Linked DNA regions of Neurospora crassa OR74A. The protein of the gene in region 1 purifies or fractionates together with the protein of each later gene. This does not show direct contact. Links are inferred from orthologs where the notes say so. Each region holds a gene or a part of one and is shown in the gene's direction. Other genes may lie near its edges.

Region 1 (4,051 bases):
CCATGCCAAGAATCTCTCCGTAGCCCTTTTCCGGTTGTTGGATGAAACAGAAAGAGACATTTATTTGTTCTTGACGACGCCGACCTGGGCAGGGCGAAGGACGCGGCCGTTGAGCTTGAAGCCCTTCTGCTGGACGTGGAAGACGACGTTGTGCTCCTTGTCGGGCATGGGCGCCATGAAGGTGGCCTCGTGCTCGTTGGGGTTGAAGACCTCACCCTCAGGTTCGATGCGCTCAAGACCGTGCTTCTTGAGGGTCGAAAGGAGGATGCTCTCGGTCATCTTGAGACCCTCGTAGAGGTTGACGAGGTCCTTGAGGTGCTCAGACTGCTCCTCCGACTTGAGCTTGTCCTGAGGAACCACGCTCAAGGCGCGCTCGAAGTTGTCGACGCTTTCAACGAGGTCCTTGGCGAACTTTTGAATGGCAAAGTCCTTGGCCTGCTTGACGTCGCGGGCGGTGCGCTCCTGGAGGTTGCGGAAGTCGGCGACGGTGCGAAGGCACTTGTCCTGTAGAGAGGGGCATCCCGTGTAAGTGACTTGTCCATCATGGCTGTATGTGCATATGCTTTGAAGCTCAAGAACCAACCTTCCACTCGCGGGCCTCGGCGTCCTTGGCCTCGAGCTGCTTCTTGAGGGCAGCAACTTCATCGGTCTCACCCTCCTTCTGCTCGGCGCCCTCGTCGGCCTTCTTCTCACCCTCAGCCTCGGCGCTGTACCACCGGGCGGCGGAGCGCAGCTGGGGAGCAGCTGTCCGGGCAGCTTGCATCTGGAAGATCTGGGAAGCAATAGGGCGCTGGGCGGCAACGCGGGCGCCGGAGCAGAGGGCTCTGGAAGAGCGGGTGAGGGCTGTTCGTAGCATGTTGGCTGGGTATCTGGATGTGACGGGTGGTGAGATGTGGCGATGTCAGAGACAGGGAAGCGTCGCGTGTTGAGAGAGGCACTTTCTCAGAAATTTTGAGACAGCTGCGCTAGCACGGGACGGAGACGGCATGGACGGGCGGCGGGTTGGGCGGCCAACAGGGGCCTTCGCAGTGTCTCCCACAGTGGGATGGTGGGAGGGTGGGTGCTGCTGCTGCATCAATCCTGTCGGCCGGCTGGGCGGGAGCGAACCGAAAAGCGGGTCATGAACGGACCGCCCAAAATCGACGAATTGCCTGCCGGACCATCGAGTTTTGCTCAAATCGACAATTGGAGCTTCGACACCTCAGCGCCCCGGGTGTGCCTGGCGGGGCTCTTTTGTGCGGGGGAGTCGAGATGGACCTGGCTGCTCCTACCTACTCTGTTAAAGACACGCCGTGGAGTTAGCCAACGCCAGGTCATGTGAAGATAAGGCCAGCTTAATCCTGGTCACTTTGTCTGCCCGCTGCGGCCTCAGCCAGAGGCAAGATTGGCGACTGGCCGCACTCAGTCCTACCATAGGTGGTGGCGCCTCCGAACCTCGACCCGTCAACGCGCCGGAAACCGAAATCAGTCCGCAACTTGCATTTCGCATCAACCGGCCCTCAACAAAGGCCACCTCAACCGCAACTCACCCTGCCTCGAACCACAACTTCCTGAACCGTTTCTCCCCCCGCATCCAAATTTTATCATACACCACAAAACGTACCATCGAGAACTGCCGACTGTAGCGAGAACAACTGACCGACCGCCGGTCAACACGCAAAGATGGATTACGATCCGATGGTGATGGACGACGCCGAGTCCCTGGGACCGGTCGTCAAGATCTCACAAGTATGTTCTGTGTGCTCTTGCTCACAGCAATTGCGCTCAGCTGCTCGTTCATCGTTCTAAACCATCATTCTAGGCGGACAACACCCGAGTCAAGTTTGAGCTCTCCAACACCGAGCTCAGCTTCGCCAACTCCCTTCGTCGCGTCATGCTTGCCGAGATTCCCACGATTGCCATCGATCTAGTCGAGATCGAGGCCAACAGCTCCGTTTTGGCCGACGAATTCATTGCCCACCGCCTGGGCCTGATTCCACTCAACGCCGAAGGTATCGAGCAGCTTCTGTATTCTAGGGACTGCGACTGCGACGAATACTGCGAGCATTGCAGTGTGACCCTCAACCTTCACGCCAAGTGCACTGGCGACGACATCATGCAAGTCTGTGCCCGCGATCTTGTTCCAGTCGGCGATCGCGTCAACCAAGTTCTCGGCTCGCCTATCATCAATGATCCTGAAGGCCAAGGTCCCCTCATCCTCAAGCTTCGTCACGGTCAGGAGATCAAGCTCCAATGCATCGCGAAGAAGGGTATTGCAAAGGAGCATTCCAAATGGGCCCCAAGTGCCGCCATCGGCTTCGAGTACGATCCTCACAACAAGCTGCACCACCTCGACTTGTGGTATGAGCAGGATCCTAAGAAGGAGTGGTAAGTACATTCCATCATCTTCACTTTTTCCAATTCCCTTTGATGTGACCGATGTCTCACCATTTTGTTTTTCTCTCCAGGCCTCCTTCGGAGTACGCCGACTGGGAGGAGCCTCCCCAGGAGGGCGAACCGTTCGATTACGATGCCGTACCACAACGCTTCTACTACAACGTCGAAACCGCCGGTCCTATTCCCCCTGATGCTATTGTCACTGAAGGCATCAAGGTCATCCAGCAGAAGTTGGCTGGTCTGATCCACGAACTTACCGAAAGCGATGGTGGTGAGAACGGATACAACGGACCGCGCAGCCCAGGCTACAACGAAGGTGGCGACAACTGGAACGACCAAGGATCGTTTACGCCATATGGAAACGGAGGAAACCAGAGCTCTTGGGGAGGTCAGGGAGGTACCACGCCCTACGGAGCGACTCCCTACGGAGGCGGCCAAAACCCTTGGTCTTGAGCATCATATGCTTACAGTTTACGATTTGCGACGTCAATTACTCCTCCTGATGGCTTGCGAGGTCATTGCGCCTGTCTTTTCCGGGAGGTTTTGGGTATCTGCGGTATCTTTGCGGCGCGAGTTCGAGCTGCGCACTTCGATTAACAACACAACACTTTTACCATTCAAACAAGATTGAGATTCGCATTCCTATACACACACTCGCGCCATCACCACCAGCTCAGCATCTACTTAGTAATCGTGGCGCCTCCGTCTCTTACTGCGGGGACCGTAACTCAACCACACTTTGTGGCTGAGGCCCACGGAACGGATCAGGGCCAAATATCGGACTTTTGGCGCTAGGCACGAGCCGCCACGTCAAGGTCAATTTTGGGGGAAACTGGGAAAAGGAACTTTGGGAGCTGGATCTTGACATTAGGGGAGAGGAGAGAGGCGCATTCTGAAGGGATTCAAGTCAGGGCGAGAGGAACCAGAGCATATCTTATTTGAGCGTCCCTCGTCCAGACACCACATATACTAGGCAGCGGAACGAGGACAGCTCTCTCTGTTATTGGCACCCTGCAAATGATCTATCGCACAATTGCGAGGTATAGACAAAAGGTGAATATAGTTACCATGGTCTGGCGACTACATAGGGGACCAAAATACCCAAAAAAAACATTCATAAACGGTTCGAAAGTGCGAGGTTCATAAAAAATCAAGATGCCATTCTCGCCGGTTGCTGGAGTCTAGTAAGCACTTGCTGCTCTGGTCTATTTGCTTTACACAACTCTGCAGGAAACACCAAACTCCCAGGGTAAGACTACATAAAGCCAAAACACCATCGAAATGACAGCCCTACCGCCGCTTCAATGCCTGACGGATGAGGGAACATCTAACAAAGGAAACCTATGAACAAGAAAACATGAGGTATCGCCATCTAGGTCCTGACAGAAAGACCACCACTCGGCCTCTAAAATGCAGATTTCCTCTATACAAATCCGGCCATTATGTCCCCACCCACAAACTTTTTGATTGAAATGCATTTGAAAACCCGCTGTTGCTGCTGCTAGTCCGTCTAAGAAGCAGACTCCCAAGACTGGACATGGGAGGAAAGGTGAAGAAAGAAAGAGAGATTAGAAAAGGTAGGTAGCCAGGAAGAGGAGCAAATGACAACTCATTCCTCAATGCCCTTGACCTTCTTGTACATCTTCCGATGGCCCTCCAAGAAGATGAAGGTGCA
Region 2 (3,682 bases), on another chromosome or scaffold:
GAACAGAGTGGTCCGTTCTCCGAGTGGGTTGGTTCATATCAAACGTCATGAGGGATGATTTATCATGTGGAGAGTGTACCAACAACTTTCCGGGCGTTGAGGAGATGTCAAAAGGGTTGTTTTTTGTCTTGATGACGAATATCAATTTAGACGAGAATAAAACATAATGAGAGTCCATGCATTACGACTGATGGAGCAGGACTACCTATTTTCTGATATTTGTCCCTTCATTTTGTGCAACCCAGGCGGGCATGTTGGACGAGAGGTTGGACGGGTTGCAATGGGCCAGACAGCAGGCAACTACGTAACATGCAACAACGAACCTTGAATGGGCAGGTTCCACACTTCTTTCAAGGAATCTCGGGGGAGATCTGGAGGTGTAGTGTGGTGGAACGTACCTTGCATAGGCCAGATAGTTCACTTTTTGGACAAAAGCATGATCGGCATTGGACTGGTGGTTGCTGCCCCTGAGCCTTTGTCCACTACAACTGCATACGGTGGACCTCAAAGGTGAGTGTAAAGACATGGGAGACTTGGAATCTGATAATACCGTGTAGACTCGGGGCATCCGTTTTCAAGTTCCGTGGAAATCAGGCATGATCTGTGAGCATACTGTACTGCAACATCCATGGCCGCCAGAAATTGTATGCAAGACGTTAGTTGACTTCGAATATCCACCATCCAGCGCCTTTCCAAAAAATAGATGAAAAAAGGCAGAGTATAAGAAGAGTTGAGGTTACAGTTCTCCGGGGTAGCAACAAAACTCCATTTTTAATACTAGTTTTGCGGGCATAATATATACAAATCAGGCATATGCATGTCCGATTATGCCTGATTTCTAGAGAACCTGAAAACAGATACCCCGAGGTTGGGGCGATACAGTAGACGTACCATGTGAATGACGGAGGTGGTTTCCATCCAGGTCGCCTCCTTCACTTGGTCGCGTTCCAGAGGGCATGTAGCGCATATGGATGGTAGGCCTTGCTTCGCAGTATTTAATCAGTAAGTACCTACCTGTAGGTACAGTCCCGGTGAGAATGGAACTGAGACCCACTTGTTTGTGTCACGTGCATTGGCTACTCTTAGCCTATTTAAGCTAGCTTGTCTCTCCAGATCCCTCTTCTCTTCTACTCTTCAGCCTACTTTTGACCAATGAGAAATCATCACTTTTTAGAACCGTTATTTATACAGTAGTACGGGTACACCCACGAACCTCGAGTGGCATCCAGAAAACGGGCTACACCCTGTTGGCATGGCACTTATAGCGTGTCGTCCAGACGGTCCAGGGGATGCGATAAGATAAGCGTCACGCCCAAGAGTTCATGACGACCCGTTCTTGTCGACGAGACTTAGCAATTCGTGGCCTCCAACACCAACTTTGACCTCAACAACTTTTTACAGTCCATTGTTCACCACCCAGCATTTTTTTCGATTCCTCTTCTCGCGGCACAGCCTGAAAGAACCAGTATTGAATCGAACCTACGACATATCACAGCTATTGGATCTAGCCAGCTCTACTCCAGACAGCTGTCGCAAATCACCACCACCGTCTACGTCGTGTCCCGTCGCTCGTCCACGATCCGCTCTCGCTTGCCGCCCTCACAATGGAACAACCAGGGCCCATTACCGACATTGCCAAGCCTGGCATCAAAGCGCCCCGCGATTTGGCCATTTCGCTGCGAGAAGAAGTTGCTCGGATTCTAGGGAGGAGTTCCATTGGCTTTCCCGGAGCACAACCCGTCAGCTTTGCTCGCAAGCACCTGGAGGAACTACGAAGAGAGGAGTAAGCCAAGGCTCGTCTGTTACGGTTGCGCATGTCATGACTTCTGGCTAACCATCCGTAAAGCTACTATGTCTGCGAAAAATCCGACGGCATTCGCTACCTCCTCTACCTGACCGTCGACGAAGAAGGGCAGGAAGTCCAATACCTGATCGACCGCAAAAACGACTACTGGTTCCTCCCTCGCAACAGCATGCACTTCCCCATGCCAAACGACATTCAAGCCTTTCATCGCGGCACCATCATCGACGGCGAGCTGGTGATGGACACAGTGCCCGGCACAAACGGTCGAAAAGAACCGCGCTTCCTCGTCTTCGACCTACTCGCGCTCGACGACAAAGCCGAACTTTTGAACAAACCTCTCGACAAGCGCCTCGGCTACTTCAGCGCCTACATATACGAACCCTACAAAAAGCTGCTTCAACAGTTCCCACAGGAAATTCCCTTCATGGCCTTCAAGGTGGAGATGAAGCGCATGGAGCTGTCGTACGGCATCGAGACCATGTTCCGCGAAGTAATACCTGCCTTGAAACACGACAGCGACGGTCTCATCTTTACGTGCCGCACCACCCCTTACCACTTCGGCACCGACCCGCACATTCTCAAGTGGAAAGCGCCGCACGAGAACACGTTGGATTTCCGCATGCGCCTCAATTTCCCCCTTGTACAAGCCACCGAGGCCGAACTTGACGAAGGGTTTCCCGAACAATTTACAGATTACGACTCGGTCCCACAAGCGGAACTGTACGTTTTCTGCGGCAACGACGGACCGGGCGGAAGCAAATACGAACTCTTTCCGGACCCACTTTATATCGCGGAGGACGAGTGGGAGACGCTCAAGGCGCTGGGCGACCCGTTGCAGGATCGCGTGGTGGAGTGCTGTCTGGATGCCGAAAACCGGTGGCGGCTGTTCAGGTTTCGTGACGATAAGAATGAGGCGAACCATACGAGTACCGTCTCCAGCGTCATGGCGAGTATAAGGGATGGCGTGTCGGATCAGGAACTTCTGAGCGCGGCGACGGCGATAAAGGAGAGCTGGAAGATACGCGCGCAGAAGAGGAAGGAGCAGCAGCAGCAGCAGCAGCCGAAGCACTGATTGTGTGCCCAGCGCTGGCGGAGCAGGCCCGTGAGGTTTGAGCGGTGTTCTTTAGGGGCTATTTGGAGGGCCGGTGACTTTCCTCTTCCCTTCTTGTTTCCTTGTTCTATTTCATCGGTGTTTAGTGGTCTGACTTGGAAACAGGTGCTGATATCTGCACCGACTATACCTGGGCGTTTGGGGAATGGTGGGCTTTTGTTTTGGGCGGTAGCTCTTAATGCATATCTTTTTTTTGCCCTTTCCAGTTGTGAAATGGCATAGAGGGTGATTAGTATTACCCGTGCTGGGACCCCGCAGAGTTCTCTCTCTCTGTGCAGAATTGCGAGTGAGACTTGTCGATTCAAGTGATGTGTATCATTTATTTTGTCTTGGCTATGGGTAAGTTTGTTTCGAGTTGCCCTGATGACTACCCAAAACCATCCAACAGAACAATATTGAACTACCTTGTTGCTTTTAACTAGGTGAAAGACGCTGGGAGAACCTATCGGTCATTGTGCCATCGAATGACATGTCCTTTACATCGAGTTCATCTTACAAAGACCAAATCACTTCCTCAATCAAGTGCGAATGAAAGTAACTCAAAGAGAATTGTAAACTGTGTAAGCAACAGGACATAACGACACACCAGCACATGCATATAACGGTGTTCAATTGTATATCCAAATACTAAATAAATCTAACTCCCATTTCCTCTCCCCTCCCCTCATCATTTACTTGCCAATTGTCAAAAACAAGCGATCCCCCACATCTCCCAATCCCGGCTTCAACATACCCCCCTTTGTAAGTTCCTGGTCCACACCGGCCAG
Region 3 (4,063 bases), on another chromosome or scaffold:
GATATGCAGCTAAGCATCACCTATGACCGCAGAGGACTACCTGGATCTCCAAGATGCCCAAGATTCTCGACAGCCTGACTGAGGCTTTGCGCATTTGCTGTCGAGCTCCCAGTCTCACTGATCTTGCGGATACACGTCGGCGGCTGAGTCGCTCGAATATTTTGCTCGTTGTTGACTGGATATCCGTTGCCTGTCGACCTGTCTTTATACTCCTTCGCTTCGAGCTGTTGTAATCATGCATACCGGGTGCTTGTGCCTGATCTAGGTGTAGGCCATGTAGCCAGGCTGCCCTGCCTATCATTGCGTTTGCGGAACCTGATGCTGATGGTGGGGGGAAACGAGCAAAGAGGACAAAGCCGGAATACCAATGCAAAGTAACAACAAGGCGACCAAGAAGGCATTCCCGTCTTTGCTATTGCCGTGTACATACCAGGTAAGGTGTCACACTCACAGTCCACTATCTCTACACAGGGAGGGGGAAGTTGGAGGGTTGGGAGAGATGGAAGTTCCAGGCGACACCCACCAACGGGATCGCAAGCGGCTTTTAGGCGAGCCAATCCCAGGCCTAGACCTGCCAAGGAGGGTCCGGTGTTCGGGACTCTTGCTAACAGAAGTGCTCGCAGTTGCGGGGGAAGGCAGCGCAGCTCCTACCCAGTCGCGTTAGTGAGCAACATGGACCGACCTATCATCATACCTGCTTCCCCAGAGGCGAGTGCATGCAATTTTTCTCGAGCCAAGTTGGAAGGGCCGCTTCACTGCAACTGGAAAGGGCACAAGGGCTCGGCCAGGATCTGACGGAGATTCAGAGCGGGCGCGAAACCTAGGTAGGTACCTACCTACCTGGCTGGCAACCTAGGTACCAACTACCTAACCTAGCTCACCCAATCTGAGCCTGTCCTTGTTTGGGTTATTTCAGCCGTAGGTAGGTATGTTTGAGTTTAAGTTGAGGGTTGTTCTGGCCTGCCATCGCGTCGGATGTTTCGAGTTTTTTTCGTTCCATGTCACTGAGTGCTGTCCTGTTCATTCCATCGATGTGGATGAGAGCCCAGTCGGCGGAAAAGATCACAACTGCACCGAAACCCGACCCGACCGGACGCCTGTTGTGGTTGTTGTAACGATAACCTGACTGGCAGGCACCGAGGTGACCTGACCTGGGCTTGAAAGAACGCGGACCTGGACCTGGACCTGCCTGCCTACCTCTACCTACTGCTCTCCACTGCTAGTAGGTAGTCTGGAAGCCCTGTGCGTTTCATTAGCTGCGTTGCGTGCGTGTAAATCTTGCTGCTCCATCGGCCCAGTAGCCCAATCCCTTCTCTGCGTCCCCGTCCAGTCCAGTCGCCAGTCTTCTCTACCTACCTACCTCTACCTAGCCCATCGCCCGGCCGGACCCCCCCCCCCCAGCAGCGGGCAGCCCAAGTGGAAGCGTCTGCGCTTGTCCGTCTCCTCCCAAAAGTCTCTAAGCAACCACCACCGACGTTGATTTTTTTCTCCCGACGCTTTCTATCCCAACCAAAACAGGGCGACGTCTTTAACCACAAAGAACGCGCATTTTCAACCCCACCCTGGCGATAGAAGTCCTATTATCATAGGCATCATCTCGCGGTATCTCGTCTTCTGGCCTCCGTCGCTCAATTAGACGCAGCTTTTTCCAGCGACCCTCCGACCGGCCCAGCGCTCTGTACTGCACCTCGCTGCAGCACTTTGCACTCTCCCGGGCAGTCCATCGACCAGTTTTTCCCGACCGTGGTTTTGGCAGTGGCAGTGACAGCCTCTCCCGCAGTCTCAGGACTACTTGAACTCCCCTTCTACACCCGACCTTTTCGAACCCAGATTTTCGACGACGACACGGCGTTTTGCCCCAGCCCCGTCCGCGCGACAAAAAAAAAAAAACACGTTACCTCACAAAGGACGATCAGAGACTTCTGGAGCCGTCTCCTTTTTCCATCATTGCTAACCCTCTTGTCGCCGCGTACTACCGGACCGATTTCTTCGCAATTCCGACGAGATTTGCTTGCGCTTGCTCTAGACCGTTCGCACCTCCGCCAAACCCAGTGACGATTTACTAAAACCAAAGCACAACATTCGGTATCCGAAAGAATACCTATTTCCAGAAAAAAAAAACACCAAAAAAATCACCGCTTGCTGTATTCCCAAGGAGAACGCGTTCGCCTCTCCAAAAAAAAAAAAACCCCCAACAATCGCTTCTTGCTGGGATCGCTTCTGAGCGTAAGTTGATCAACTGCCGTTACATTGCGGCTTCCCAGTCTCTGCCCAGCCGTCGCTCCTCCTTCATTTTCCCGCCATCGCGATCGCGTGCGGCAAACCCCAATCAGAATCTGCGTCGTCATTGGCAATGTCTAACGTCTTGAATTAGTCGTTTAGCTTTGCAGAAGTGCATCTACCCCAGTTTCCTACTCCTTACGCGTGCCGCTCTTTTAGACCCGTCCCATCCGACTAGCTGGGGTTTGTCGGTCGTTACCGTGACTTCGAAAACCTGTGCGCGGTATCTCTCCGGTTGGTGAGGATTTTGCAATGGCGGACCATACCGAAGTCGACCTCGACTCTATAATCGACCGCCTCTTGGAGGTGCGGGGCAGCCGGCCTGGTAAGCAGGTGCAGCTGCTGGAAGCCGAGATTCGCTATCTCTGCACCAAGGCCCGTGAAATCTTCATTTCCCAGCCCATCCTGCTTGAGCTCGAGGCTCCTATCAAGGTAAGCATTGTGTTCTTTCTATTATCCCTTTACATAGCCTCGGCATGCGCCATACTGCCCCTTCGGCAGTGTTCATAGCTGACGTCGTGCCCCACCTCCCTAGATTTGCGGCGATATCCACGGTCAATACTATGATCTCCTCCGCCTCTTCGAGTACGGTGGCTTCCCTCCTGAGGCCAACTACCTCTTCCTAGGTGACTACGTCGATCGTGGCAAGCAGTCCCTGGAGACCATCTGCCTGCTCCTCGCCTACAAGATCAAGTACCCCGAGAACTTCTTCATCCTTCGTGGCAACCACGAGTGCGCGTCCATCAACCGTATCTATGGTTTCTACGACGAGTGCAAGCGGAGGTACAACATCAAGCTTTGGAAGACCTTCACCGACTGCTTCAACTGCCTACCGATCGCTGCCATTATCGACGAGAAGATTTTCACTATGCACGGTGGTTTGAGCCCGGATCTGAACTCAATGGAGCAGATCCGCCGAGTCATGCGACCAACTGACGTACGTTACACCATTCATGCCCGGGCTTTCCGTTTGCTCAGGCTAGTTGCCGTAACATGAGACACTAACAATAGCGCCAGATTCCTGACTGCGGTCTTCTTTGCGATCTCCTGTGGTCGGATCCCGATAAGGACATTACTGGTTGGAGCGAAAACGATCGTGGTGTTTCCTTCACATTCGGCCCGGATGTCGTTTCTCGCTTCCTCCAAAAACACGACATGGATTTGATCTGCCGTGCTCACCAGGTTGTTGAGGACGGATATGAGTTCTTCTCGAAGCGCCAGCTCGTTACTTTGTTTAGTGCCCCCAACTACTGCGGCGAGTTCGACAACGCTGGTGCTATGATGAGCGTCGACGAAAGTTTGCTCTGCTCTTTCCAGGTATGTTTTTCTGACTTTGGCAAGCTCCGAGACCCTTGCACTCTTGCTAACCCCCTTTGCAGATTCTCAAGCCCGCAGAGAAGAAACAGAAGTACGTTCCCAGTCTCAGATGAAGCAATTCAAGACCCCCAAGAAGCACAAGTAAAGAATTTTCTTACGAACACACCCGTTTTCCTTTAGGTTCGGCCGCCGATAAACGTCTGATACTTTCGCCCGCCCGCAACGAACATGAGTATCTTACCGTCAGCTTGTCTACCGCCGCCATGTTTCCTGATCGCCAGGGCTCCCAGCCATCATCCCGTCTGCCGTCTGTTCCGACCACTTCTTTTGGGGAGGTCCTCGCCCCTCCTGCCGTGCCAACGAAACGAAAGCCACGTCTGCCCGTCCTGTCTCTCCATCCGTCCGGTCTCCACACAACTCGAGAGGGTAGGAAGGAAAGGGAATCTTTTTATATCTCGGGGGATGA
Region 4 (3,945 bases), on another chromosome or scaffold:
CTTTCAAGGATGCCTTTATCAAGGCCCAGAAGGACAACGAGGCTCTCTTCAAGGCTGCCGAGGAGGCCGCCGAGAAGAAGGAGGCTGAGGAGGATTCCGAGGACGAGAAGGCCGAGTAGATGTGTGGTCTAGTTTTGCATGAATTTGAAGTTGCTTTAGGGAAAGTTTTTCAACCACCCCGTTCTATTTTCCGTTTTGCTAGGTGTTAGAGGGGACGATGACATTACTACCTCCATGGGCTGGGCGATGGAATGAATGAAAGGACCGCTACAGAAGTTATGACGATGATGATTCCTAGGCTAGAGAGCTGGTACATGGGCAGCGTGTGCGAGAACAAAAGGTTGAAGTATCCGACATGAAAGCACTATTCAGGTGTGCGTTTGACGAGATTTCAATATACTGGTAACATACTGCGACGGCCCTTTTGCAACTATGGCTGGCAAGGAGGATGAGGATGGGGATTACTCTTAAGGGATCTAAATAACCTTTAGCTTAACCAACAGTTTTAGATAGAACAACTCACTACCCTTCACACCGATGCATTGCCTTTGGGGGTTTTTGATCAAGTTCTTGTACACACAACCTCGCCTCGTCATACCTGGCTGACGGCTTAGCACGATGGTCCACCAAAACATGAGACGAATCTGATGGACTGGCTAGCTGACGGAAACCTGAGCCTGTCTTGAAAGAAACACAAATACTGAATTCCGTTTGCCAAGTCGTCCGTGACGCGGTCTGGCGACGACCGTATAAAAAATCTGGTTGTTTTGCGGTTTTGGAGGTTTCTTCTCTTCTTGACTACCTTACGGCGAGCTGACGACGATCCTCTTCTTCGCCAGCGGTCTCTCACTACTCTTCTCCCGACGACGCAAAATCACATCTTGGAGCAATTTACTTCAAGATTTCAGGGTCTACTTCAGCATCACCGTCGTCTTTGACAACTTCTTTCCAAGACTTCTGCTTTCTCGATCATCGCGATATTTCGATTAGAGTGGTGATATCTTCGTTCACCTAGGTGAGCTCACCTTGCTTACATCCACGGTGAGGGGTAGAGGAATGCCGGCAAAGCGAGCTGACGCTCACTGCATCACAGCGCACCAGCCACAGCACGCACAGCGGTACCTCACTGAGTGCTAGCGACGGGACAATGGTCGACTTCAGCCATGGTTACGGTTTTGACTATGGCGGCGCCGCGACGCCTCCGTTCGCGAATGACGAAGGTATGTCCCGCTTGAACCAACTTCATCGGAGTGTACATATATTGCACAGTGACCCAAATTCCCAACCATCCAAGTCGCATCAGCACCATAACTCAGTAAAAACCTTCCCACATTGCCTTGCTTGAACACTCCCTTGAGCATTTTTCAACCCAAGGCCATCAGAGAGGAGACACGCTCTTAACCTTAGCCCCTCTTCACGATCACGATCGCGTTCCCATCCAACTTTTGCCTATCCCAATTTGTACGCTATACACCTTAGAGCTACGTTATCCCCATCATTATCCCTGGTTCCCAACCGCACGCCACGGCCCGCCGCGGTACCTTTACCCCTCCGTAACGGACGACCTTATTCTCTACCGCTACAAAGCCCAACTCTAGCAGCGCGACGGAATCTGCGACACACCAACACATACAACACACCAAACACTATAGAGCCCATTGCCAGACAGCCCAACGGATACAACAACGTCGTACATCCTCGAATCCTTGCTCTTCCTCAAGAGCCCGAACGCCACTGTCTTACTACTGTCCTGTACTCGAGACACCGACCGAACGCCGATTGTCAAAAGAGTGCTGTTCGAGTACTAGGACACGAGCAAGTGAAGAGAAGTACACAAAGCTAACCGCGGGAATCCATCCAATTTCTGGGAAGCAGAGGGCCTTGAGGATCGGTCGGACGTTCCCAGTAGTGCTAGTAAGAATACTCGAACCAAAGCTACTAGAAGGAATCCGAAGCGGGTTCCAGGCGCAAACAAGATGATCGTCGAGGTTAGTTTCCGGATTCCCAGTCCAGTGTGGTTGGTAGCTTGCGCAAACAGGGTGACCACTGTAGCGGCATACAGAACAGGTGCAGAGGCAGGGAAAGGAAAGGCCCTAGGAGGAGAACGTTCCGGGATAGCTGTTGTTCGGGAAATGGATTCGACGGCTAACGTGGGTTTATTTGTCTACAGCGCAAGATCAAGGTTGTCACAGAACAACACAATATCAACAAGCCGGCGGCACAGGAGGGCTACCCCATGAAGGAGTGGACGGTCGAGCTCTATATTCTCGACCAAGATGGCAAGGAGAGGCCCGCCAGGTGCTTCACGAAGGTGACCTACAACCTTCACCCTTCGTTCGCGAACCCTATCCAGAGTAAGTAGACACCGGAGCGGCCGCCGGTCACCTCTCCCCATCTCTGTTGTGTCTCGAGAGCCAGAGGTTGGCTAACGCGTCGCAAATTCAGCTTTCAACGATCCTCCCTTCAAATGCACCAACGAGGGCTGGGGTGAATTTGAGATGATCATCGATATGTACACCACCGAGAAAGGCGGCAAGATCTCGATCGCGCACGACCTGAACTTCCAGCAATCAGAGTACGAAAACATCCATACCGTCACCTTCCGTAACCCATCTCAGGCGCTCCAGCAGCTCCTGAGAGAGACGGGTCCCTTGCCCTCGGACGAGGAGCGCAAGCAGAAGAAGGCGGTGGACGGCGGTTCCAAGAAGAAGCGGCCCTACGACATCGAGCGTATGGCGGATGGCTTGACGAAGCTGGGCGAGGATGACCTCCTGCAGGTCATTCAGATGATCCACGATCACAAGGATGACAATACGTACATCCAGAACAACCTCGATGGTAAGTTTGCCCGCTAGGGAGTGTGGCCCCTGGAGGCAACACGAGCTGATGGCTGACTGGACATGTCTATAGCGGGCGAGTTCTCGGTGGATCTCTACACTCTTCCTGACAACCTCATGAAGATGCTCTGGGAGTTCTTGGTAAGTTGTTCTTCCCATTCTTTTGCCCCCTCAATCGGATCCTTCTGTAGCTAAATCGCTAATATTACCACAGGTCAAAGCCAACGTAGTCTCATAGTACGACTTCCTTGGTCCAAGTAACCTACAGTAGTCGATGGCCATCGATTTACGAAGTCATCAGGGACGGGAACATTCTTCCTTACTAGATCGCAGTGCGCACCATACCATACCCAGTACACCACCACCCTCTTTATTCACTATTATTGATCCCTTGACACTTCCATCCACATCAACATCAACCACCTTCACCATCATGCCATTGTAGCCTTAGGCTTCTTCGGCTCCTGCATTACCGTGGCGTTTATGGAGTTATGGTGGGATACGCAAAAAGCAAAAATTGAGAAAGATTCAAGAGCTTCTCTTGACAAAATTTGTGCTTGATTTGATCTTCCAGATTTCTTTCTTTGCGTGATATTCGATGGTCTAGGGTGTGTTCCGTTGAACCGTTTCCTTTCTGCCGGTGGGATCGTTGCCTTGATTGGTGGTGTCTGCTCGTGAGGACTGCTCTTCACTGGAAGGGAGTGGCATCGCTAATCAGTTTGTGCTTTGGGCGGACCTTGAACCTTATCATGTGCAAGGTTTGCCCCTCTAGGTAGGATCGTCATAGGGAAATTTGAGACTGTTTATTGGAAAGAAAGGTTCGGGAAAGGATGGGTAAGAGGTAGAAAGGAGGTATGTAATAGATCCCACGCCCATGGAATTCGGAAGGGAAAGAGAAGCGGTTATGTTGTAGGCGGTACCTAGTTCTCGATCACGGTCTCTCTACGTTGCTCGTCGTATGGCGGTATTAGAAGCAGAGAACATGCTGTATGGTTTAGTTTACACAGTTCAGGGTATGGAGCAGCAGTAACTGTCCGTTCGCCTTAGTCTCCGTGTCTCCTGTGCCTGGACTAGAGCGCTATAGATCTGCCAGCACCCTGCCAGATAG
Region 5 (3,990 bases), on another chromosome or scaffold:
GCTGCTATGGATTACGGGACATAGCTGGCTTGTCTCTTTGGTGTTTTCTCTTTTTTCCTTCTTCTTTCTCCTATTCATTTTCTCGGAGAACGACGACTAACAAACAGACGCATTGGCTCGTGCCACGGCTGGCGTGCTGGAGTAAGGGTACAAGGCACTTACACTCCTAAAACACAATAGGAGGGCTGGGGTTGACTTGGTTATCATATCAATACATTATATCAATAATAGACACTATTCGTTAATCGGAAAACGTTATACAGTCCGATGCTGGTTTGTTTGTTGGCTCAGTACACTAGGTACCTAGGCACCTCTACAGTACTGTAGGTACCTACTCTATCCACGAGACGATATCAATCCCGAGTAGTCCAAAAGCTTACAAGGACAAGTCAAAATGGCTGAGTACGAATTACAAAGGCATTAACAAAAATTGATATAATATATTGAACATCGGAAATGGCGTTGTTACCTCTAGCTAAGGAAAACGTCTAGACAAGTTGACGCAAGGTCTCGAGCTAACAAACAAACCAGTACTGGACTGTACACTAAACATCAGTGACTTCCATTCACCTACTCGTAACACTCTGCCAATTCCGGAAGCAAGCCACGGGCATCAAGACCACCAAAGGCAAGGGAACGGACACAAAGATGGTCGCGGTTGAAGGGCAGTGTGTAATGTGTTCTAGATAAAGAACATTAATACATAAAGAAGGGACGCCACCTTCCCGAACTCACACCGTCACACGGGACCTTTTCAATGAAGTATCGGGGCCGAGGTTGAAAACTGAGGTGTATGCTGAACTGCTCTTCTTGTCAGATTCTTCAAAACGATGCCTGTATGGGATTGGATTTGAGAAGTCTTGGGTACCTCTACCTATGATGAGGACTGCTGGCCACTACACTTATGGTAGGTATCAATGCAGCACGTCCGTGTACCTATCAACCCCGCAAACGGTCTGGCTCAGTCAATGCCGCCCGCGGTAACAGCAGCCATGTCTTGTTATGTATCGGTACCTCTACAGCCCGCGACACTGATAGGGTGACATGGAGTCCACAGACAGGTGAGTATATGATTGGTCTGGAATTCACCCATTGACAAAAGCGAGTTGGAGAAGTTCCCCAAAATCAGCCTCCGGAGGTACAAAAGGGCGCGGCTCCCATCTCCCCTCGGCGGCCTTTGCAGGCCATGTCTCGCCTTCAAATGAGCCGCCTCGAGTTTCATTGCTTCACTGAAGTCAAACTCGCCCGACTGTCGCAATATCACTACACGCACAGAACTCTCAACCAAGACATCTCCGTAGCACCTCACCGGGTTACGGGCACATTACATCACTTGTCAGTCACTTTTTCTAGATAATATACCAGCTTGAAGATGATCTCTTCCATACTGTACATTGGATGCAGGTTGACATTGATATCCAAGTGCAGCCTAGGTACCTACCTAGGAACTGAATTGATCCAAATCAATTTGGCTGTTGTTGTACAGGTACATCGAGATCAGCTACAGTACAACCCTTTTGGCTGAGAGCTTGGACCACCCCTTCGTTCCGCCCCATAAGTGGTGCCGCAAAGCTACCTGCGCTAGACCTGATCAGGACATATTCCCCACTCTGAATCTTGCAGAGCTTCAGAGGTCCAGGTCCAGATCCAGGTCGATCGTGCAGTGAGTGGTCGCACTTCTACGTTCCATCTTCAATTGTCGCGATTCACAGCAAAAGAACAAAACATCGATCACGGGCGCCACACGACAAACCCACCACCAAAGCCTTCAACAACCAACACCGAAAACTGCACGCGCTTGTTGCGCTATGGGTTTACTCATTCTACCAAACACCCATCATCTACTTTCATCTCCTCAGGGAGCACCGTTGTAAGTGGACAGCGAGCGAGCCTCCTCGGTGGCGCGTCGCCGTGGCCGGGCATGGATTGCGCCGGATGATGGTTCTCGATGCTAACACTCACTCTTCTTAGTTGAGTCGCCACCTTTACACAATCGTCCGACCGATCGCACAGGCCGATAAGCCATATTCGCGACCATGGTCAAAACAATCCAGCTGGGGAGCCGGCTGCGGTACCCCATCACCATCACCAAGCTCTACAAGGAACCCAACCAGCCCATCAAGAAAAAGGAAGCGCTCTTCCAGTACTCGTTCAAATGGAAGCGCACCGTCGGCGACAACATCCGCGGAGAGACATGGGAAGCCGAAGAAACCACCTACGCCGACTGGAGTTCGCCCTCAGACGGCGAGCTCAAGTCATGGAAGATCCGCGTCGGCCAAGAAATCTCCAGAGATCAAGACTGTATGGTCGTCAAGGAGTCGTGCTCCCATGATGTCCAGTTTGGCGGCCTCTGCGCCATCTGTGGCAAGGACATGACCGAGGTCAACTGGGCCGCCGAGTCCCGCGACATGGACCGCGCCCCCATCAACATGGTGCACGACCAGACACACCTCACCGTCAGTGAGACGCAGGCCCAAAAGACCGAGAACGCCCTCCAGCGCCGTCTGCTCCAGCACCGCAAGCTCAGCTTGGTCGTCGATCTGGACCAGACCATCATCCACGCTTGCATCGACCCGACCGTTGGCGAGTGGCAGAAGGACCCGTCCAATCCCAACTACCCATCCGTCCGCAACGTCAAGTCCTTCCAGCTGGACGATGGCCCCCGCGGCGTCGCCAACAACTGCTGGTACTACATCAAAATGCGGCCAGGCCTCGAGGACTTTCTCAAAAAGATCTCAACCATGTACGAGCTACACGTCTACACCATGGGCACTCGCGCCTACGCCCAGAATGTGGCGCGCATCGTCGATCCCGACAAGAAGCTGTTTGGCAATCGGGTGATTAGCCGCGACGAGAACGGCAACATGTACGCCAAAAGCCTACAGCGCTTGTTCCCCGTCAGCACCAAGATGGTGGTGATCATTGACGATCGAGCGGACGTGTGGCCGCGCAACAGGCCCAATCTGATCAAGGTCTCGCCATATGACTTCTTCAAAGGAATTGGTGATATCAACTCTGGGTTTCTGCCGAAGCAACAGGGTCTGCTTACTCCGAGTGCGGCGGCGACCACGAATGGTGGTTTGGCGCGCATTGCACCGGCGCCATCTCCCGACAAGGAGGACAGCACCACGATGGAGCCGCCGCTGGAGAAAGCCCTCGAAGAGCAGGAAAAGACGCTAGAAAAACAGATCAAAGACAGGCCTTTGCAAGCGCTGCAAGAGCAGCAAGACAAACAAGATGAAGCAGCCGAGAGGGCATCCGCCACCCCAGAAAGCGGCAACACCGAGTCCACCACTCCTCCGCCCCCTCATCACCGGCACCAGGTTCTGCAAGACGACGACCGGGAACTCGCCTTTCTCGAGAACCACCTCACAGCCCTCCACAAATCCTTTTTTCAAGCGTACGAGCAGAACCGCCTTTCCCAACCCTCCTCCTCCCCATCCTCGCTCGACACTCAATCCATCCCGGACGTAGGATCCATCCTCACCACGCTTAAAGCTCAAGCGCTCAGCGGATGTAAAATCGTCCTCTCCGGGATTGTTCCCATAGGGATGGACGTCTACCGCTCCGAGATTGGGTTGCAAGTTGCCAGTTTTGGAGCCGAATTACGCAGCTCCGTGACGCGAGACGTGACGCACTTGGTAGTCAGCTCCCAGAGGCCACGGACGAAGAAGGTCAGACAAGCAATACGCTACCTGCCCAAAATCAAGATCGTCAACCAGGATTGGCTAGCAGCGTGTTTCTCAGAATGGAGGGTGGTGGAGGAGGGGCCTTATCTCATCGAAGGACTGGAGGATGCGCAAAAGAAGTTGAACGAAAAGGTTCAGGATGCCGAGGCGACAGAGACGGTGAGCGATGCTGATGATACAGACAGCGGAAATGCGCCGCCGGGGAAAAAGAGGATCCTGAGATTAAAGTCGCCACCAAGAGTCAGGTTCGCCACCGCCGCTAGCACTGGGAACGACGAGGACGAGGATGAGGACGAGGAGG
Region 6 (3,757 bases), on another chromosome or scaffold:
AACAGCCCTGGGACCTTGGAAAATCGGGGCCCAAGGAGGGTGACAAGGATGGCTGCCACTGCCAAACCCCTTCACCGCCTTGCCGCTTTGGGTGAAGTCACGGTCAGGGGCAGAACACTGGACAGGCGGGACTCCAGGCTGCAAGTAACAGGCCAGTCAGACCGAAAAGTGTTGCTTGTTGCAGACCATTATTTGGCAAAGCCTCGATTTGGATGCCCGGTTTCGCATGAGCCATGATTCGTTGTGTTTTTATTGCCGACGGAGACCCGAGTGTATCAAACCGCCTCGATCCAAACTTGTCAAGTTCAATTCACTGGAGCGCCATGCATGCTTCCCTCCCCAAAGTGTCTTGTTCTTGGTGTCCTGTCTCGAGTAAACGGGCGAGGACAAGACGCAGTCAACAGGGACCGATACACCATTACAGCGCATCAGGGGCTTCAGGTCTCACACAAAATGACAAGAGAGTACACACTACTGGAATCCACAACGACGTCATGGAGTTGACCACGAGCACCTGTCTGTTAAATGTCATGAGGCTTCAGAGGGGATGGACGCCTTTGTAAATATTTATCATCGTATGTAATATGGATAGTCTTTTGTTGAAAAATTCATCTCGATGTGCCAAATCCTCTCTCTCCTCCCGCCCACCCGTGACCCCAATATTCAAGGGCACAGCAAGTCCGTGTGTGGCACCCACTCTATGCACGGAGAATCACGAGGCCCCAAGGAACTGTTGCGTGGGGTGTCCCGATGCAGCAGCAACTGACGACGGATCGAGAAAGTGTGGATGGCTCATGAGAGGGCGACGAGGATCATGGTGCTCATCCGATGCTACACAGCACACGACCGGGCTGCAGGTTCGCAGCTTTGGTTCCTGTTGTCGAGAACCAACGGGCCGGTACTTCAAGTCTTTCATGTTTGGTGAGGTGTGACCTTTTTGATGAAAACAAAGTATAAAAAACCAGCATGAATTGTTAGTACAACTGGTATCAGTTCAAGTGGCTTCCATAACTCAACCTAATTCATCTCAAATAGAGAACTAAATGAGGCCATCAAGGTGATAAAGAATACTAGAGGTAAGCAAGCAGCCTCAAGCTGACCAAGCAACAACTCGGAGGATGGCAGTGGCACCCACACGAGGACATGTCGACAAGGACAAGAACCTGCTGGGCTTGCCACACCATCCCACTAACAAGATGGTGCCCCTGACAGCTCCGTCCCCGCGAACGAATCCCCAATCGCGGAAAACACAACGGGCGGTACTATGGTACCTATGTACCTGTCCCCTTGCCCGACCCCGCTCCCCCAGAGAAAGTCCCCGCTTTTTGTGCCTTGTGAGGTGTGGAGCCGCCGACAAGCTGACGTCCCTGACGACGGAGAGCTCCATTGCCTAGAACCGGGAGAGTCTTGGCCGGAGTGGTGCTGGATGTTTCTCTGCCTGTTCCTCCTTCCCCCCCCGCCGTTGCCAGGTGATCTAAAAAGTTCAATTCTCCCTTTGTCAATTTCTCCTTCTGTTTTCCATCTCTCCTTTTTGTAGTCGCTTTCTAATTCTCATTGTCGAAGCTCTACCGGCGCAACTCAAGGTACGTCACCATGCCCCTCGCTGGTTGATCACGCGAGTCGCAATTGCGCCTGAACCTCCTTCTCCCCGTTGACATCGCGACCGCCACAAGGCTATCCGCCTACAGTACTCGAGGACTAAGCTACTTACTGACCGCGAACCGCATCGTGCTCTCACAGAACCGACCTACGAACCAATCACCACTACAACCACCACCAAAACCGTCATAATGTCCAACGCAAGTCAACCCACCACTCGCAACATCCAGAACAACAGAGCTGACCCCCCCCCTTCCCCCCTTCCCAGACCATCGAGACCGGTCTCCCCGAAGACTGGGAAGTCCGCCACTCGCAATCCAAGAACCTGCCCTACTACTTCAACAGCGCCACCAAGACCTCTCGCTGGGAGCCACCCTCGGGCACCGACGTCGACAAGCTCAAGATCTACATGGCCAAGTACCACTCGCCCACGAGTCAACAGCAGCAACAACAACAGCAGCAACAACCACAGGGAAAGATCAGGTGTGCGCATTTGCTGGTCAAGCACAACCAGAGCAGGAGGCCCAGTTCTTGGCGCGAGGTGAGTCCCCTTCCCGTTGTCCATTTCAAGTTGCGTCCGGAGTGCCTGGTGTTTGTTGTTGCCTCCGGCGGCCCCTCCGGGGAGGCTCCTTCGGAGGGCTGCTCGCTGCGCTCGTTTTGTTTTTCTTTCTCTCTTTCTGACCGTCGCTAACCACCAATGACAGTCCGAGATTACCCGCACCAAGCAAGAAGCCCTCACTACCCTGCAAGGATTCGAACAGCGCATCAAGTCCGGCTCCATTTCCCTCGGCGAGCTGGCCCTGACCGAGTCCGACTGCTCCTCTGCTCGGAAGCGGGGTGACCTCGGCTACTTTGGACGCGGCGACATGCAAAAGGAGTTTGAGGATGCCGCTTTTGCGTTGAAGCCTGGCGAGATCAGCGGCATCGTGGACACGGCTAGTGGGTTGCATTTGATTGAACGGTTAGTCGACATTTCTTTTCCTCGAAGAATCAGAAGAAGGAAGAGAAGAAGAAGGAGGGTACGGAGAGTATATTGGAGGTGGACGTGTGTTGCGGTTATCTGGTGGTGTGTGGTGACGGCCGCCGCTACTACCGAGTGACACCAGTCGCTGGCAAGACGGACATCATTCGTGAACGAACAAAAGTTTGCTGACGACGACATTGGGGAATGGTACAGGCTCGAGTAGGATCCCGATACGCCACGACGATCAATAATGACCACTGCCTCTGATAAAGAGGAACATCAAAGGGCGCTGAGAGCGTGCATGATAGTATAGGGAAGACGAATTAGGGATTTTGCTTCGAGCGCGGCGCTTTGCGATGGTACGAAGGAGAGGAGGAATTCGAGGGATGAGACCGGGAACACAACTCTTTATATCGGAAACCCAAAAGATGATGGCCGCGATGACGCATTACGCCATTATGCGGTCACTGGAACTTTGATATTGTCGGATTACTGTACGTAGTACGAAAAAGGCAACAAAAGGCTAGGTAGAAATATCTGGGTTCTCCTGGCTCAAGTGCGGATAGGGGGGAAACCCAAAGGAAAACAGCCGGATAGGAACAAAAAGAATAAAAAATAAAAAGCAGACAAAATAAAACATTTCACATTTCGAGACACACACACAATACACAACGGGGACCTAACATGGTCCAATGCCCCAAGTAACTAAGCGACGGCCAGGCAAGCACCCCAAGTGATTCCTAGCTTGAGTACTAGCTATTTACTTAGATTACCTCCGATCCCCTCTCTATGTGGCTGGCTGGGGTTCGAGACCTAGGAAGATGGAAAGACAGAATCGACATGTCTGGAGCTATTTTACACTATTATTAACTAAGGTAAGGTAGAAGAAACAGCGTTAAAGTTAAAGGGAGAATACGTATCAATCAATGAGCAACTAACTAACTACGTACTTACTAGTCTAGTCTAGTCTACCTGAGCAAGCTGCGTGCATCATCCATGTATGCGTGTGCGTGATCCGTACCTCTCTCTACCTACTTAGGTACCTAAGGTCCCTACCCTACCTACCTAAGGTCCCTACCTAGGTAGGTACCTACATTATGCCCTTGTTGACTACCAAGTCCTCCTACATATGATAACATTAGGGCTTTTCATTAGCTACCTAGAGGTAAGTAAGTAGCCGAGTGTTAACATTCT
Region 7 (3,566 bases), on another chromosome or scaffold:
CAGGTCGCTCAGGGCACCAATGTTATCCAGCTCGGGCTTCCTCAGCTTCCGTAGCGCATTCTGCAGGACCTCGACGGCGGTCAGAAAACGCTTCTCGGATATCCTGGCCTCCAACTGGTCTGGAACGGTGCGCAAGTCATCGAGCTCGTTCAGTGTTTGTAGGACGCCATCGTACATGCGTGACGTGGCATGTAGCTGTTTGAGTTCGGGATTGGTGGTGCAGAGTGCCGTCTTGGAGGCTGCCAGCGACTCCTTGAGGGCGCGCACCTTCTTCTGGGAGGACTGTATGCTCCCTTGGATCTTGTGGAATGTACCAATGGAACTGTTGAAGCCTTGGTGGTGGTCGTGGACAATGTTCTTGAGGGACTCTTGGAGGAACTGGTGTGTCTGCTGGAAGTTGCGGTATTCGTGGGCGCGGCCGACGGAGCTGGTGTCGAGAAGCTGTAGAGCCAGCTGGACGGGGATGCAGTCTGTCTCGACCATGGCGGGCCATTCTCTCTTGATCAGATCCAGCACGTTTCCAATCTGGCGCTCGGCATTGGACTGGATCTGCATATCGCCGGCACCCGTGCGGCCACGCTGGGCAGACCGGGGCGGGGGCGCATTTCGGGAGGCCGTCGATGGTCTTGAAGCCGGGTTAGTGCTGGTGCCATAGCGGTCGCTGGGATATCCGTCACCGTAGGGATCGTAGTCGTCGTTACGCCGGCCAAGGTTGCCGAAACCGCTGTTGCCCCGATAGGATTGCGGCTGCTGGCCGTATCGGTCGGCCATGATGGTGGTGTGTGTTTGACTCGGCGTCCGGGTGTCGCGAGGAGGGAGAGCTATCGTGTTGCGCGGTACTTCATTATCGGCATGCCTAAGGTATACAGTATGGAACTACTGCTTGGTGTGCCGGGCCCGTCTACAGTTGGTATGAATTGTAGGTGTTACTGAGTGGACGTTGAGTCGTCGTCACCCAGGACTTGAGTCGTCGGGTGTCAAGGTTAGGTTGGTCAATGATGGTGCTTTAGTTGGTGTTGCTCAAGAAGTCCTCCTCTCTCCACGTTCATGATCCCCTAAAACGGATGTACAGTGCTTGTTTGTTGTTACAGAGGGTCCCGCCGTTGCTACATAGGTACGTAACCCCACTGACAGGGCCTCACGCACGACGGATCACTGCAGGGGCAGCGGCCTCCACGAGACATGAATTACAAGCTCGAGATGCTTCCACCTCAATAAAGGTATCCTGGCTCTTCTCTACATCTATCCTCCTTTCAAGTATTAATGATAACTCGTCAAGTCCTTATACTTGGGCATTGGAATTCCAGATTTAGAGCCTTCATCCACATACACAGCGCCGGACAACCGCTCTTTTCTACCATGACCGCCGCTTTCCCAATCCAGCCTGTAGCACGGTTTGCGGGCAAGAGTGAGCTGGTCAAACGGCCAAAGGTAGAAACAACCTACTAGAGACATCCAAAGACCAGAGAGGCTAACTGTCTGACCAGGAATTTGCATGCTTCTCATACGATGCCGATCACAAGTTCTTACTTGGAGCTCAGTCATTGAAGTGGTATTACACACCAGACCTCAACGTCGACCTGTCCAAGGGCTTCGAGAGCTTCATCAAACATGACGATAGTGTAGACGAACATCTGGACAGCCTACTCACCACCATAGCCGACTATGAGCAAAAGACGTCGAAACCGATCGATGCTCACATCGTAACTTGGAGAGGCATGATGACAAAGGCGAGTCTCCCTTAGACTAGCTGTTTCATGATGTCGTTCGTATATCGGACACTAACATCATATACACCGTGATAGATCATGGCAGCCCCCTTTGATGATGACGACGGGTTTGAGATGAATGCTACCCTTTACAGAGTTCGTCCACACCTGCCGCTTGGCCATCTAACTTGGGAAGCCTTGTCATACTAACATGGCTGTAAAAGGGTTGCATGTAAGCGACCACATGGTTTCCGCCCCCATGCTATTTTGACTGACGGCGACAAGATTTATCGAAGAGAACCATGCATACAAACAAGCATCGAGAGCAAACGAGCGGCCATGGAACGGGCCAATCCCGCAAGAAGTGATGCAGTACTGGGGTAAGCTAACTCACTGTCCACGTCTTTCATATCTGCTGAATTGGTAAGCTGACGTCTCCTGGCTTCCAAGGCTACAAGTTTGAGACTCTGAGCACACTTCCGAAACCATGGGGCCAGACCTCTCGCGATTTCATTGAAAGCCGTCCCGATCATGTCGTGAACAACAAGGAGCAATACTGCTCAGTAGTCCGTACAGGCATTGGCAAGACCATTCTCTGTATCGGTGGTGAGGTTGATGCTAGTTAGTGCTCTTGTCTCCCTACCTATACTAACGCCTCTCGTCAACCCCAACTAATAACTCGTCTTTTCTTACTTAGTATGGGACGACAAACCAAGGACTCAAGGCGATCCAATCAACTGGGTGGAGCTCAAGACGTCGGCAGTAATCCAAAATGAGCGCCAGGCCAATAACTTTGAGCGTAAGCTCATGAAGTTTTGGATCCAGTCCTTTCTCCTAGGCGTCCCCAAGATCATTGTCGGATTCCGGACGCAGGATGGGCTGCTGGTTGAGACCAAAGAGTTCCGCACGATGGAGATACCGCTCATGGTGAAGAAGAATGGGCGGCCAAAATGGGATGGGGATACGTGCGTCAACTTTGCTAACGGCTTCCTCGAGTGTGAGTCTTGTCATTTCCTTTGTCTTCTTGAAGTCCAGCAAAGCGTCTTATGCTTTGGAATCTATGACTAACAGTCTCTTTTCAGGGCTTCGCCATACCATCACCGACGAGGGCGTGTGGAGGATCAAGAGAAGGCCTCGGTCGGCAGAAATCGAAGTGTTCAAAGTCGAGGAGGTGGGCCACGGAGACATCATCACAGATGAGTTCATGAACTGGCGGATCAAGCTCGAGCTTCGTCAGGCACAGCCGCCTACTGAAGACAATGAGACCGAAGAGTAAGCTGAATTGGACGAAGCAGTACACGTCTTCTTATGTGCATCAGTGTCCAATAGAAAGAAGTACATTGGCGTTGGGCAACCCACGGTAGCTTCTCAGCCACCCCCCTCGTTCTTGCCTGCCAGTTCCGACGTCTTCCATCATCCAACCCTACCTGTCTGCACCTTCCGTGTGATAAGGCACGCCGCGAGGCAGCTTTCCATCTAATCTCAACCCACTAAAGACGCGAAGCTCCCCGCTGTCAACTGAACAAATGTTCACCTCCCTGTCAACAACCCAAACCATCAAAATCTCCATGCTTCCATTCACCCACGAATTCATTTCCACCATTCACTCTCTGGGTTATAGATCGCTTGACTCTGTCCAGCAATCGTCCGTCATAACTCGCGGTCCTTTAAAATCATTATGACCCCAATCCACGCCACGCGTCTCGACACTTCTCAAAAAGACATCCGCTTGCTCGAGCTTCTCCCGGCCAACAGTCTTCAAGACCCCATCCAATGCAGACTGTACATAACTCAACTGTCAATGGAAACGGAGTATACGGCCTTATCATACGTCTGGGGAGATCCGAATGTTACCTC

Evidence for each region.
Region 2: the proteins of NCU01515 (region 1) and NCU06260 purify together in Saccharomyces cerevisiae (affinity purification with mass spectrometry; 6 studies listed by BioGRID, with this or other methods). This does not show direct contact. The link is inferred for Neurospora crassa OR74A from reciprocal best matches to the Saccharomyces cerevisiae genes RPB3 and CEG1.
Region 3: the proteins of NCU01515 (region 1) and pph-3 purify together in Saccharomyces cerevisiae (affinity purification with mass spectrometry, with the first as the bait; 3 studies listed by BioGRID). This does not show direct contact. The link is inferred for Neurospora crassa OR74A from reciprocal best matches to the Saccharomyces cerevisiae genes RPB3 and GLC7.
Region 4: the proteins of NCU01515 (region 1) and NCU00444 purify together in Saccharomyces cerevisiae (affinity purification with mass spectrometry; 9 studies listed by BioGRID). This does not show direct contact. The link is inferred for Neurospora crassa OR74A from reciprocal best matches to the Saccharomyces cerevisiae genes RPB3 and TAF14.
Region 5: the proteins of NCU01515 (region 1) and NCU09300 purify together in Saccharomyces cerevisiae (affinity purification with mass spectrometry; 3 studies listed by BioGRID, with this or other methods). This does not show direct contact. The link is inferred for Neurospora crassa OR74A from reciprocal best matches to the Saccharomyces cerevisiae genes RPB3 and FCP1.
Region 6: the proteins of NCU01515 (region 1) and ssp-1 purify together in Saccharomyces cerevisiae (affinity purification with mass spectrometry; 4 studies listed by BioGRID). This does not show direct contact. The link is inferred for Neurospora crassa OR74A from reciprocal best matches to the Saccharomyces cerevisiae genes RPB3 and ESS1.
Region 7: the proteins of NCU01515 (region 1) and NCU04191 purify together in Saccharomyces cerevisiae (affinity purification with mass spectrometry, with the first as the bait; 4 studies listed by BioGRID). This does not show direct contact. The link is inferred for Neurospora crassa OR74A from reciprocal best matches to the Saccharomyces cerevisiae genes RPB3 and RAI1.

What each region holds. Positions count from the first base shown.
Region 1 is NC_026502.1:3,218,390-3,222,440, forward strand, and holds NCU01515 (DNA-directed RNA polymerase II polypeptide), read left to right. Parts: upstream 1-1,422; 5' UTR 1,423-1,662; coding exon 1,663-1,728; intron 1,729-1,801; coding exon 1,802-2,367; intron 2,368-2,447; coding exon 2,448-2,829; 3' UTR 2,830-3,551; downstream 3,552-4,051. Other genes in the region: NCU01516 (mitochondrial co-chaperone GrpE), read right to left, coding at 61-504, 584-856; NCU01514 (mitochondrial dicarboxylate carrier), read right to left, coding at 3,986-4,051. UniProt on the Saccharomyces cerevisiae protein: DNA-dependent RNA polymerase catalyzes the transcription of DNA into RNA using the four ribonucleoside triphosphates as substrates. Component of RNA polymerase II which synthesizes mRNA precursors and many functional non-coding RNAs.
Region 2 is NC_026503.1:2,102,469-2,106,150, forward strand, and holds NCU06260 (mRNA-capping enzyme subunit alpha), read left to right. Parts: upstream 1-1,147; 5' UTR 1,148-1,604; coding exon 1,605-1,783; exon of another isoform or gene 1,784-1,793; intron 1,794-1,846; coding exon 1,847-2,876; 3' UTR 2,877-3,182; downstream 3,183-3,682. Other genes in the region: NCU06261 (uracil phosphoribosyltransferase), read right to left, coding at 3,587-3,682. UniProt on the Saccharomyces cerevisiae protein: Second step of mRNA capping. Transfer of the GMP moiety of GTP to the 5'-diphosphate terminus of RNA via a covalent enzyme-GMP reaction intermediate.
Region 3 is NC_026503.1:2,384,687-2,388,749, reverse strand, and holds the start of pph-3 (serine/threonine-protein phosphatase PP1), read left to right. Parts: upstream 1-1,263; 5' UTR 1,264-2,226; intron 2,227-2,374; 5' UTR 2,375-2,532; coding exon 2,533-2,712; intron 2,713-2,815; coding exon 2,816-3,217; intron 3,218-3,297; coding exon 3,298-3,597; intron 3,598-3,659; coding exon 3,660-3,688; intron 3,689-3,777; coding exon 3,778-3,793; 3' UTR 3,794-4,063.
Region 4 is NC_026503.1:3,880,445-3,884,389, forward strand, and holds the start of NCU00444 (transcription initiation factor TFIID subunit 14), read left to right. Parts: upstream 1-1,145; 5' UTR 1,146-1,976; coding exon 1,977-1,988; intron 1,989-2,170; coding exon 2,171-2,354; intron 2,355-2,445; coding exon 2,446-2,838; intron 2,839-2,910; coding exon 2,911-2,978; intron 2,979-3,051; coding exon 3,052-3,075; 3' UTR 3,076-3,945. Other genes in the region: NCU00443 (ran-specific GTPase-activating protein 1), read left to right, coding at 1-119. UniProt on the Saccharomyces cerevisiae protein: Functions as a component of the DNA-binding general transcription factor complex TFIID, the RNA polymerase II associated general transcription factor complex TFIIF, and the chromatin-remodeling complex SWI/SNF.
Region 5 is NC_026507.1:20,301-24,290, forward strand, and holds the start of NCU09300 (RNA Polymerase II CTD phosphatase Fcp1), read left to right. Parts: upstream 1-1,190; 5' UTR 1,191-1,335; intron 1,336-1,423; 5' UTR 1,424-1,870; intron 1,871-1,971; 5' UTR 1,972-2,036; coding exon 2,037-3,990. UniProt on the Saccharomyces cerevisiae protein: Processively dephosphorylates 'Ser-2' and 'Ser-5' of the heptad repeats YSPTSPS in the C-terminal domain of the largest RNA polymerase II subunit (RPB1). This promotes the activity of RNA polymerase II.
Region 6 is NC_026503.1:4,945,918-4,949,674, reverse strand, and holds ssp-1 (peptidyl-prolyl cis-trans isomerase ssp-1), read left to right. Parts: upstream 1-1,447; 5' UTR 1,448-1,583; intron 1,584-1,740; 5' UTR 1,741-1,790; coding exon 1,791-1,799; intron 1,800-1,867; coding exon 1,868-2,140; intron 2,141-2,303; coding exon 2,304-2,560; intron 2,561-2,776; coding exon 2,777-2,786; 3' UTR 2,787-3,257; downstream 3,258-3,757. UniProt on the Saccharomyces cerevisiae protein: Essential PPIase specific for phosphoserine and phosphothreonine N-terminal to the proline residue.
Region 7 is NC_026505.1:5,153,122-5,156,687, forward strand, and holds NCU04191 (rai-1), read left to right. Parts: upstream 1-1,254; 5' UTR 1,255-1,263; coding exon 1,264-1,431; intron 1,432-1,487; coding exon 1,488-1,730; intron 1,731-1,805; coding exon 1,806-1,865; intron 1,866-1,933; coding exon 1,934-1,941; intron 1,942-1,994; coding exon 1,995-2,089; intron 2,090-2,159; coding exon 2,160-2,330; intron 2,331-2,406; coding exon 2,407-2,706; intron 2,707-2,791; coding exon 2,792-2,985; 3' UTR 2,986-3,066; downstream 3,067-3,566. Other genes in the region: NCU04190 (exocyst complex component Sec8), read right to left, coding at 1-771; NCU17026 (hypothetical protein), read left to right, coding at 3,388-3,566. UniProt on the Saccharomyces cerevisiae protein: Decapping enzyme for NAD-capped RNAs: specifically hydrolyzes the nicotinamide adenine dinucleotide (NAD) cap from a subset of RNAs by removing the entire NAD moiety from the 5'-end of an NAD-capped RNA.